Linked DNA regions of Neodiprion lecontei. The protein of the gene in region 1 interacts with the protein of each later gene in a pairwise test. Links are inferred from orthologs where the notes say so. Each region holds a gene or a part of one and is shown in the gene's direction. Other genes may lie near its edges.

Region 1 (5,884 bases):
TGCAGGATGAACAATGTAAATCAAATTATACAGCGATATGTTATATATTGCTAAATTTTATCATGCAATTAGCCGTCTCAACTTGGAAAACGAACATGTTCTATGTATAAGTGAAATTCATACTGCTATTCAAATAGGAATTTATTGGAACCACACATGCAGTGAATATGTTTAGTATCATAAAATTTTATTCAACGTAGTGAACACGCAGCCAAAACATCTTTCATTTCACTGCAAGTTAGATAAAAATCTCTCAAGTTCAAACGAATTACCCAAGCTGCTTGTAAGTAGTTCTGAGGGATTAAATTTCGGTACATGTGATGCCGAACATTTGAGAAATTTGATCCAGATGAAGATGGGTAAACTATACTTTTGGTAAAATTAAAAAATCTGATCAATGCGGCTTGTATGAAGGCAACTGGTACATGCGGTAAACAAAGTATTTATTTTTTTTAAGAATACCGAAATAGATTTCTTTGCAATAAACGTATATAAAACTCTATTTTAGTACGCAAAAAAGAGTAAAATTAGACTGTTGTCAATACGAAGTGAAGCCAGGCTTGGTGCATGATTTAGTTTGTATGGATAAAGCAAAGATGTGAAATTATCATCCGGTTTACGTGTTAATCGAACCATCGATTTGGGGTACGAAAAAATAGCTGTGACATATCTAACTAATTAACTATTAATTGCGAAACGACGTGAAAAAGTTCATTAGGCACGACGCCAACCCACATGGCCAGGAGGCCCGGCATTGGCGCGCCACATTCCATATGGCCATCGGTAATTTTATTCGAAACTCAAGAGATTCTCGTTGTTACGGTGGATATTTTATGTTCATTAAAATCCTCATTTTATTCTGCTGTATTTTCTTACGGTTTACTATATCGCCGGCCATCTTATACTTGGTGACAACCAAGTCCTCGGCGATTGTCTTCTCAGCCTCCTCTTTGTCCGCCATGTCTTCTGCACACTGACCGGTCACGTGACACAATTGCTCTTGCTTTTCATCCAAGAATAGATGGCGCTCTGGACCAAAGACGCTCCCGGCGGAACCGGAAACATGGCAACGGAAAATCCCTGACCCGGGAGTTGTGGGGGGAATTTAAAATTGTTTCGATCTAATTCCACGCAGCTGCTGAATATAATCAATGATTTAACAAAGAACCTCCAAAGTATATTTTTCAGGTGGTCTTCTTCGATAGATCTTAAGATTCGAAGTTTTAATGACCTATGTAATGTTTTTCACCTTACTGCGCAATCATCTGTGATTTCAACAACTTTGTCAACTTGGTCTTGTAAAACCTTTCACAACTTCATCGGTAGATCACTAGGGTAAATAAGATCGCTTGTACGACACAGTAGGGTATACGTGAAATAATTCAGGGAGTTGGTTCAGAGTTTGACATCTCCTTTATTTACACATGGAACTATGCATTGCCACTAATACGACAATAAAATAAATATGTTAATTATTTAAAACAAGCATTCAATTCTTAAGCCTGAGCTGGTTTCTCGGGGGTATTGACAGAATCTATCGCACTAAGAATAGCGCCTTTGATTCCACTCGCCTCGATTGCATTAGATGTGTGTTCAGGTAAATTCGATATGAACTTAAATGTTGTAATCACGCCCTTGTTCCATGAGGATTTAACTAAGCACGTAATGTCTGTGACACTAGGCAGTTCGGGAAGCTAGAATAAAATACAGCGCCGATCAATTAATTGAAATTTCATATTCTAACACATAAAACCATAACAATACTCGAAGCCTAAGGTCTACCTCTGTTGCTACTTCCTTGGGAATATTTCTTTTCACGTATGGTGCTATGTTGTTGTACATTCTACCATACAGTTTTACAGTTTCCTCTGGATCGGACCAAAGACCTTCTCGAATTGTGTAATAAGTAAAGCCACCGGCTACGCTGGCCTTCACAGCAAATCTGTAATGTAAACTGAGATGTGTTATTCCATCCTTAATCCAAATTCTGTCTAGTCAAATACCGTGCCAGCAGAGCTTCGTTAAACTTCAATGCATATACTAACCGCAAGACGCCCATTATTTTATCTAACTTATTTTTTTTTTTTTTTTATAATTTACTTTGCAAAGAGCGATTAACGACGGATATCACCCACGCAAGAAGTCGATTATTCGGATTAAATTACATAAATGTCGTTTGTAGGTTAGGTTAAGTTACGTCTGCGATCGGTATCTAAATTCTTGATACTCCGTGGTAAAAGATGACAGCCGGAAGTGAAGAAAAGAAAACACCTTCAAATACTATTTATATATTTAATATTATTATTGTAAAGAAATACCGTCAGATGCAAAAATATTAGTTTTGAATACAAAAAATATATGCGTGTGTTTTCATCCATAATTCATTAGTTGTAATGTCTCCTTTGATTCACAGCGTGGAAAGCGAGTCCGGAGTATAGCGTGTGAAGGAAAATGGATCCGTACGTCAGACGTAACGGGTAAAGAGTCGGTTGACGTTTATAGCGAACTTCTTAGTGATTTTTTTTCTTCTAAAGTATATAATATTCGGTGCTAAGTGAATTTGATTCTGATATTTTAAGGTAAATGATGATTTACTTCGTGATTATTCGGAGCTTCGTACTCATCTTTGAAACTTTCGAACCCGTACGGTTTGCTAGATCGAGCTGCTATCCGCCTGACACACGCTGAGAATTCTAATGATTTTTCGTTTATGGACAAGAATGGAATAGAGTTTACTGACAATACTTTTCTCGTGCTGTTATTAAATATTCCTTCACTTACGTCATTCGTGAATCATAACGTGGCATTCAAGGTGGATACACATAGGTATACATATGCACATATCTATAGGATATGTATGATAAGAAATCAATAACTCTTTACATTTGTGTATCTACCCTATCACGAAAGCGTTGCATTGAATTTCTAAAAGGCGGTCGGCGGTTACCGGTACATTACGAAAATACGATTTTTCTGTATTCAATCCGGAAATGTACGAACATATTGGTCTTAACCCCCTTTCCCATCTAAAATAACGTTTCCTCAAGCTTTTGACAGTTGTCAATGCTATTAGGTACCTGAATCCATAAGAATTTTACTTAGATTTAAACAAAAATTTTCAAACTTTTATGAAATCTGTTTCATGGTTCGTGTTCACCTATCCATACGATACAAAAGGTTCCCACTGAAATTCAGTCACATCTGTTCGTTCAGTGTACAGGGTTAATAAACAAATATCTTATCTTGTTGCAAATATTTACCTACGAATCTTTTTTCATCACAACGAAGAGGGGCACTGCTGCAATGATGTCGGATCGAAAAGCAGAATTAGAACGGAAGAAGGCCAAGCTGCAGGCGATTCGAGAGGAAAAGGAAAGGCGGCGTAAAGAAAAGGAACAAAAAGATGTAAGAAGAAAAATCGAGCGGCAGAACATCACTGATTAGGGATTTCTTCTCACCAGAATATTGAATTCATTCTTCTCTTATTCCAAAATGTGTAATATTTTTTACAAGGTTGAGGAAGCGACTGTACGAGCTGCAGGTGCCGATAAAGACCATCGGAAAGACTTAGATGCCATGTTATCATCCCTTGGGGTAGCACCGGTATCAGGTAAAAAATGCAGACTTTGAAACGTATTTCACGCTGTCGAAAAATTCCTCGTCATACATTATTAGTGGATTTATATTTAAATATTGCAATATAAACTGAATTATAACCATTTTATGTTTGTCAGTTTCTGTGACTAATGAAAGACTATGTTTTGTTCATATTTCAGGTAAATTAGAAAAACCTATCCTCTGCTAAGATCAATGTTTAGAAAATTTCTTTAGTCAGGCTTCAGTAATATTATCTAAAAAATGCCACATTTTATTATACATTTATATGCTTACAGATGTATTATCCAGTCTCTCTAGTATGAACTCTTTGACGCCAGAGCAAAGTGCCAATGCTACACCAGACGCAAGTTTACAACCTTCCAGTATCAATTCTGTTCAAAGGTATTTTTGAAGATTGTGGGCTTCATATTTTATTTGCATAGTGTTTAGTTATTGGAGGTGAATATTTGACTTCGCAATAAAAGGGGTAGAGAGTAAATTTTTCATAACTGTTCAATGTAAAAATGGTATTCCAATTATAATATGTAGATGATAGCTCCTATTGATGGTATTGTTGAAATAAGGTTGAAAATGTATTCGGGGAAGAGAATTTCATTTGATTTTTTGATATTTGATCTGTTCAATAAGACAATTATTCAAATCTTTTATCCGTCTGTAGTATTCCAGGAAGGCGGAAGGCTCCACGTGATTTAACAGCTGTTTCTGTGGCGCATACCGATATACCACCCAAGGAACCTGTGGTATATAGTAAGCAGACGCAAACTGCTCAGACGACGCACACTTCACACGACGGTGAGTCTTGTTTTTAATTATGTTTTAGCATTTAAAATAGGTTTAACATCTTCAATATAATCAGAAAAGACAGGTATTTGGTGTTATCGCACCAATGTCAACCGTACCTTTTCTGTTTTGAGTTCAATATAGCACACAATTGATTTTGGAATGTTAATGCCGTGTACCATTTTGAAATTAAGTTAGTTACAAGGTGAAAGTAATATTCTGTATTTGAAATTTAACCAATAAATTAATATTTTCATTAGTCAGGATTCAGGTTTGAAGTTGTTATGGATTCAATTGCAACAATTGTTGTCCACAACAAAAGAAATTCAAGTTTCGGGATAAACTAACTTGAATCCTGATTATAAAATATTGTTAAGAAAGTTAGCAGCATTCAACTTTGGGATTGAATGACGAATATGGAATGAACTTTGTTTATTTTTTCTAAACAGTTCTTATATCACCTTTTCAATTATATCTAACAGTTTCATGAGCTTTGTGATAATCAGCTCGCGTGTTAACGTAATTTATTAATTTTTTTTTAAATTTTCGTTTTTAATCTCTGTGAAACTGAACCGTACTCTGTTATTAATGACAGTCTATACATCTTATGTGATTTAATTTAGTTAATTTTTATGTTAACTCTTAGGATTTTCTACGATTCTTACTTTTAATGCAAATAATTTTTCGTTATAATTGCATAATGTAACATGCGAGGAAACCTACATATTCACACGACACGTCGGTATGAAGAATTTTGTTTCCCTACCTGTGATATTTGTTTAACACTCCGTCTTTGGTTATAATTTAAATTGAGTCCAGCAATGTTCGCGGAGAGGCATTACATAGTAAAGAAATATCATTCTGATCGGATTACTATTTCATGTCAGAGCTTTAAGATTTTCTAAACAATTGCAGAATTCAGTCACTTCCACTTTATCATGTAACAAAGTAGCCATTTCCATGCATTGTTCAATTGAGCACAATTGAAAATCATTCAAAATTTAATTAGAATTATATTTTCAATTCTGTAACTCGAACTTTAAAAAATATTTCAACAGCTTTAATTCATATTTTCATACTCGTATCAGATTGAATTACAAAACAAATAATGTTATAATGAATTATTTCAAGGATATGTATTACGTATAAATCAATGTCAACAAATTGATAGAGCGTATGAAATTCGATTCAAGATGCACACTTTAGAAGTATAAATACCTCTCCACCACACAAACGTACAAAGACAAGTAGTACATAAAGCAAACGTATGTACAGAGCGGCGAATTCCGGACGCAAAGCTCAAAGGCTTATACTGCCTTGGGATTTTTAAAGAATGTGAAAAATCAAACTCCCAATGAAATAGTTCTTACAAGTTAAAACCTCAGGAATCAGGAATAACTGTTAATAAAAGGGTGGTAACAAATGTAGTAGTGATTCTAGAGTTTGGAATAAAACTTCAAGTAATGATATGTATGATTTGGATTAT
Region 2 (4,296 bases), on another chromosome or scaffold:
CTATCTGGTGTAACGACGTTTCTTCGAAATTCATCCAGAAGCGTCTCACGCAACCGACACAACCAAATGGTTCACGATCACAAGTTTGGCGGCGCTAACATTCACGAATACGTAATACTGCAGAATTTATCCGCTAACTCAACATTTCAACATTCTTCGACCGCGATCCAAATTATTTAATTTTCTCCCAATGAATCAGCGATCACTTCGACCTCTCTGGATAATAAAAACACAATTCGCAGTGCTTTCTGACACATGCATCAAACTCCTAATACCTAGAACAGCACTTATATTCTTAGCTAGAGCGGTCGACTTGAACTACAACATAATCATATGTTTAACCAAGCCAACGCTCTTTAGCATTCTACTGGCTATTTCTACTCGACTCTAGCTGTGATCAGAAGTAATATCCTCGCACAGAAGTGCTTGCGTAGAACTGCTCATCGCGTTATTTGTCGTAGACTTTCGGTATGCGATCGGCATATTGATTATAAAGCACTGTGCTGACCGTACTGCGTCTTAATCTTCATTGAGAGTTATTAATAATTTTAAAAAATTTAACACTAGGCTTGTATTTTAACGAAGTTAAAGACAGTAAGGTGAATAGTATGGCAAAGGGCGAGAATGGGTTCCAAGGGAACCTCAAAATCGATCGTTCCAGAAAATATAGGTATTTAGATATTTCTGTAACAATCATTTGAAAAAAATGTATTCTAACAGCCACCGGCATATTACGTCCAACGGAATAAGTATCGGAAGAAATTTTTCATTCATCGATTAACAAATCATATACAGATGATTATTCGAATAGATTCTTGACTACAAAGTTCTGTTCAAAGCAATTCAGTGAATAAAATTGAGTAGCTGAAACAGACAAAAAAATTATACTCAGCTTACAATTAGATGGGATAAAATATATAATTTGCAAAAAAGGGGAAAAAATTGATTAGCTGACATAGATAAACGGATGATTAGCAATAACGACGGAAGTGCCTAAACTGACGAAACCTATGTCGAGCCAACCATATCATTCGCGGCAACAGTCTTTCACTACATTATTTCTACTGATAGATACGCTGCGTAATTAGACTAATCCTAGAGAAATACCCTTACCTAAATACGTGCAAACTTACTAACTGACATCATTTACGATAAAATCGATTATTTCTTAATTAAAGTACATACCTTCTAGTTTCATTCGCTATAATGGTTGGTCTAGTTTTCACTTTCTTCTCAGAGATCAATTAATCGGGTTACTTCATTTGGAGCATCGTTAAACGCGATCAATAGTGATACAATGTAGGCTGTCCCTGTAATCAGGTAAGAGAAAACAATATCTGATTACTATTTCACCTTCCAAATTCATACACAGACCATTGGAAATTGACGATTGTTTTTACAAAATATAATCAAGGACTGGATAGCAATAAATTTCAACTCAGAGATAAATTTTTAAATTGAAAGTAAAAGTGGTGTGATAGTATAATCGGGAATGATTTTAAATTCATACCTGTTTTTTATTCTACCACAACATTGTGACCTGTTCAGCTTCTGCATTTTGTTTTCCAACATTTATTGCCAGAGATCAATTGAGATGATCACTAACCTCGATCAATATTGCTGTAGTTTAATTCTGTAATCAGATAAAAGACCACAGCATTTTATTAAAATTTCCTGTCCAAAATCCATCTACTCAGTATTCAAACAGGTGCAATTGGAGTGTTTTATGTATTGTGTCAAGGCTTGTACAATGTTATCGATTACATAATCGAGTAAAAAATGATCGAAATGTTTTATATCTGTTCCTTTTTCAATAAATTCATCAGTTCCTCTCGAAAGTAAGTTTTTACTCGTCAGAAAATCAGGCGAGCTGCGCACTAAACAGTCAAATTTTTACTGAATTACCGTTGCACGCGACGTCATGGCGGTCAAGGCGTAAACCCTGAAATCTCTGTAAGATAACGTTATCGGCAACGCGTTTTTGCATCGGTACATAGACAAACCGGTATTACAGAAAGCTATTATATCAGTCTCCTCGGCCATAAAATCATCGTGAAGTATAGAAAACAATCATTAGCCGCGTGGAGCTTGCCCGTAGTAAATGTATCCGATGCGTTTACGAACACTGGCTATCTTACTACTATGACGTCATCGTAACCTAAACCATTCTGAAAATATCGACTGGTAAGACTGCCCGTTGCCTTGGAAATATACCGTAAAGACGGAAGAGTTAACACTGACGTTTAACAGAAAAATTGCGGTTTGAAATTTAATCTGTAAAGATGGTACGTCAATATAATTCAATGAGTAAATAAATGATGCATCTATAATAACTTCTTTCTCTACAGGCACAAGAAGTCGAGGAAACCATGAAGCGTATTCAATCCCACAAGGGAGTGGTTGGAACGATTGTAGTCAACTCTGAAGGTTAACCATTTCACTGTCTTGTGTATTTTAATTTATTACTGAAAAAACAAAACAAATTCGGTTACTTCTAAAATCAACTAAAATTATATTAAACGAGATAATGATTGTAGGAATTCCAATAAAATCGACGTTAGACAACACGACAACAATTCAATATGCAGGGCTGATTAGTCAGCTATCCGACAAAGCTCGTTCAGTGGTACGGGATCTGGATCCCACTAATGATCTCACTTTCTTGCGAATCCGAAGCAAGAAGCATGAGGTGATGGTCGCCCCGGATAAAGAATTTATACTTATAGTTGTGCAAAATCCTGTCGATTGACAGAATAAATAATTTTTGCATTCTTTTTGCGCCTTGCATGCAATTTTGTAATACATAATTTATATGAGCAACACTGCTCTAATTAGATACTAAAAGTTAATTTAACTGAGCACGCTGCTAAAAATTTAATACCGTTCTTCTCGTCATCTCACATTCTCTACTGCTCTTGTCAAACTGTTGGCACAATTTTAAATAATTTATATACATTAATTGTCCATTATCTATTGTTTATAATTTATTTCAATGTAAAAAAATGTTGGTGAATTTAAAATTGTTGAGTGTATGTCGACGATATTTGATATAAATAAAGTTTATTATAAATACATTTGTTGTTATTTGCGTAATGACTTTGAGTATGTATCAAAACGACATGCACTTACATTAACGATATATTTACAATTCACTAGATTCTTTACAACTGGGTAGAAAGTAAAGTTTCGTCAAAATTGACAAATACTTGAGCTTTGAAATGCGATGGAGATACAAATTATAACTGTTTCAACCTTTAAAGTATTCATTCACATTACGATATTGTTCAAAATGACCTACTATGGCATTTTTTAATATAAGCTGGACTAGATTCTATGTAAATCATTAGTAAAATATCACTCAAGAAAAATAAATCAGATCAACAAAAAAAAATTATTCAAACACTGAAATGCAGCTGGGTATGATTTTTACCCATATCAATGATTGTACGAATAAGGCATACTTCACAATATTATTAAGAGTTAGCAGGAACTTGATATTCCAACTATTTATACCATTATTGTAATCACCTCACACAAGAATATTTGTATAATATAAATATATACATGTGTACTGAAGGAGCACGTAAGTCAGCCTTCTACTTAATCTATTAATATTCCACCATCCCATCTTTGTGCCACTTTTTGCAAAAGGATATAATTTTATAACTAGAGCTTACTAGAAGAAGTCTTAGGTTTGCATGTTTTTATGGGCTTCAAAGATAAAATTCTTAAAAAATAATTCTTAAATAATGTATGTGTAATAGCAGAAAGAATCTAATTAGAGCCACCCTATATATTTATATCAGAACATATGTCACGTTGTAGATTCAAATACCGTAAATTCGATTTACTGTAAAGTGAGAGCGCTTCAATTTTTGAAGTTAATTTTCTAGGTGTTCACGACCTTTTGAAAACTAAATTCTTCTTCAATCCAATTATCATCCAATCAAGTTATGTAATATCAATCATTTGGATACATTGTTCGATTGTGAAATTAAACTTCATTGGAGTACAAGAAGAAGATTGATGGCAACTAGGTATACTTGTTTCACCATATCTTTCTGCAACCAAATTTCGAAATGATTTGATGGATGAGTTGCGATGGTACTAAAACTAAATCGCATTATAATCCATGCGTTTGCTGGGACATGTATTACTGGCGATACATGCCCTGTCTAATAGTAAATAATATACAATCTAAAATACGCTGCAGCAAACGTATTAAATAATACAATAAGGTAACAAGAGATTCTTTAATAATACTACTGCTGCTGTAGCGGGCAATAGCGGCGATGA

What was found. The genes of interacting proteins can lie anywhere in the genome.
Region 2: the proteins of cytoplasmic dynein 1 intermediate chain (region 1) and dynein light chain roadblock-type 2 interact in a two-hybrid assay, tested with the Caenorhabditis elegans proteins (3 studies listed by BioGRID). The link is inferred for Neodiprion lecontei from reciprocal best matches to the Caenorhabditis elegans genes dyci-1 and dyrb-1.

Annotation. Positions count from the first base shown.
Region 1 is NC_060260.1:9,421,415-9,427,298, reverse strand, and holds the start of cytoplasmic dynein 1 intermediate chain, read left to right. Parts: upstream 1-2,422; 5' UTR 2,423-2,579; intron 2,580-2,595; coding exon of another isoform or gene 2,596-2,624; exon of another isoform or gene 2,625-2,826; intron 2,827-2,914; exon of another isoform or gene 2,915-2,992; intron 2,993-3,054; exon of another isoform or gene 3,055-3,073; intron 3,074-3,288; 5' UTR 3,289-3,303; coding exon 3,304-3,405; intron 3,406-3,513; coding exon 3,514-3,610; intron 3,611-3,893; coding exon 3,894-3,999; intron 4,000-4,276; coding exon 4,277-4,410; intron 4,411-5,884. Other genes in the region: proliferation-associated protein 2G4, read right to left, coding at 877-961; MICOS complex subunit MIC13 homolog QIL1, read right to left, coding at 1,497-1,694, 1,783-1,942, 2,004-2,059.
Region 2 is NC_060262.1:42,171,590-42,175,885, forward strand, and holds dynein light chain roadblock-type 2, read left to right. Parts: upstream 1-2,127; 5' UTR 2,128-2,282; coding exon 2,283-2,285; intron 2,286-2,348; coding exon 2,349-2,427; intron 2,428-2,537; coding exon 2,538-2,749; 3' UTR 2,750-3,072; downstream 3,073-4,296.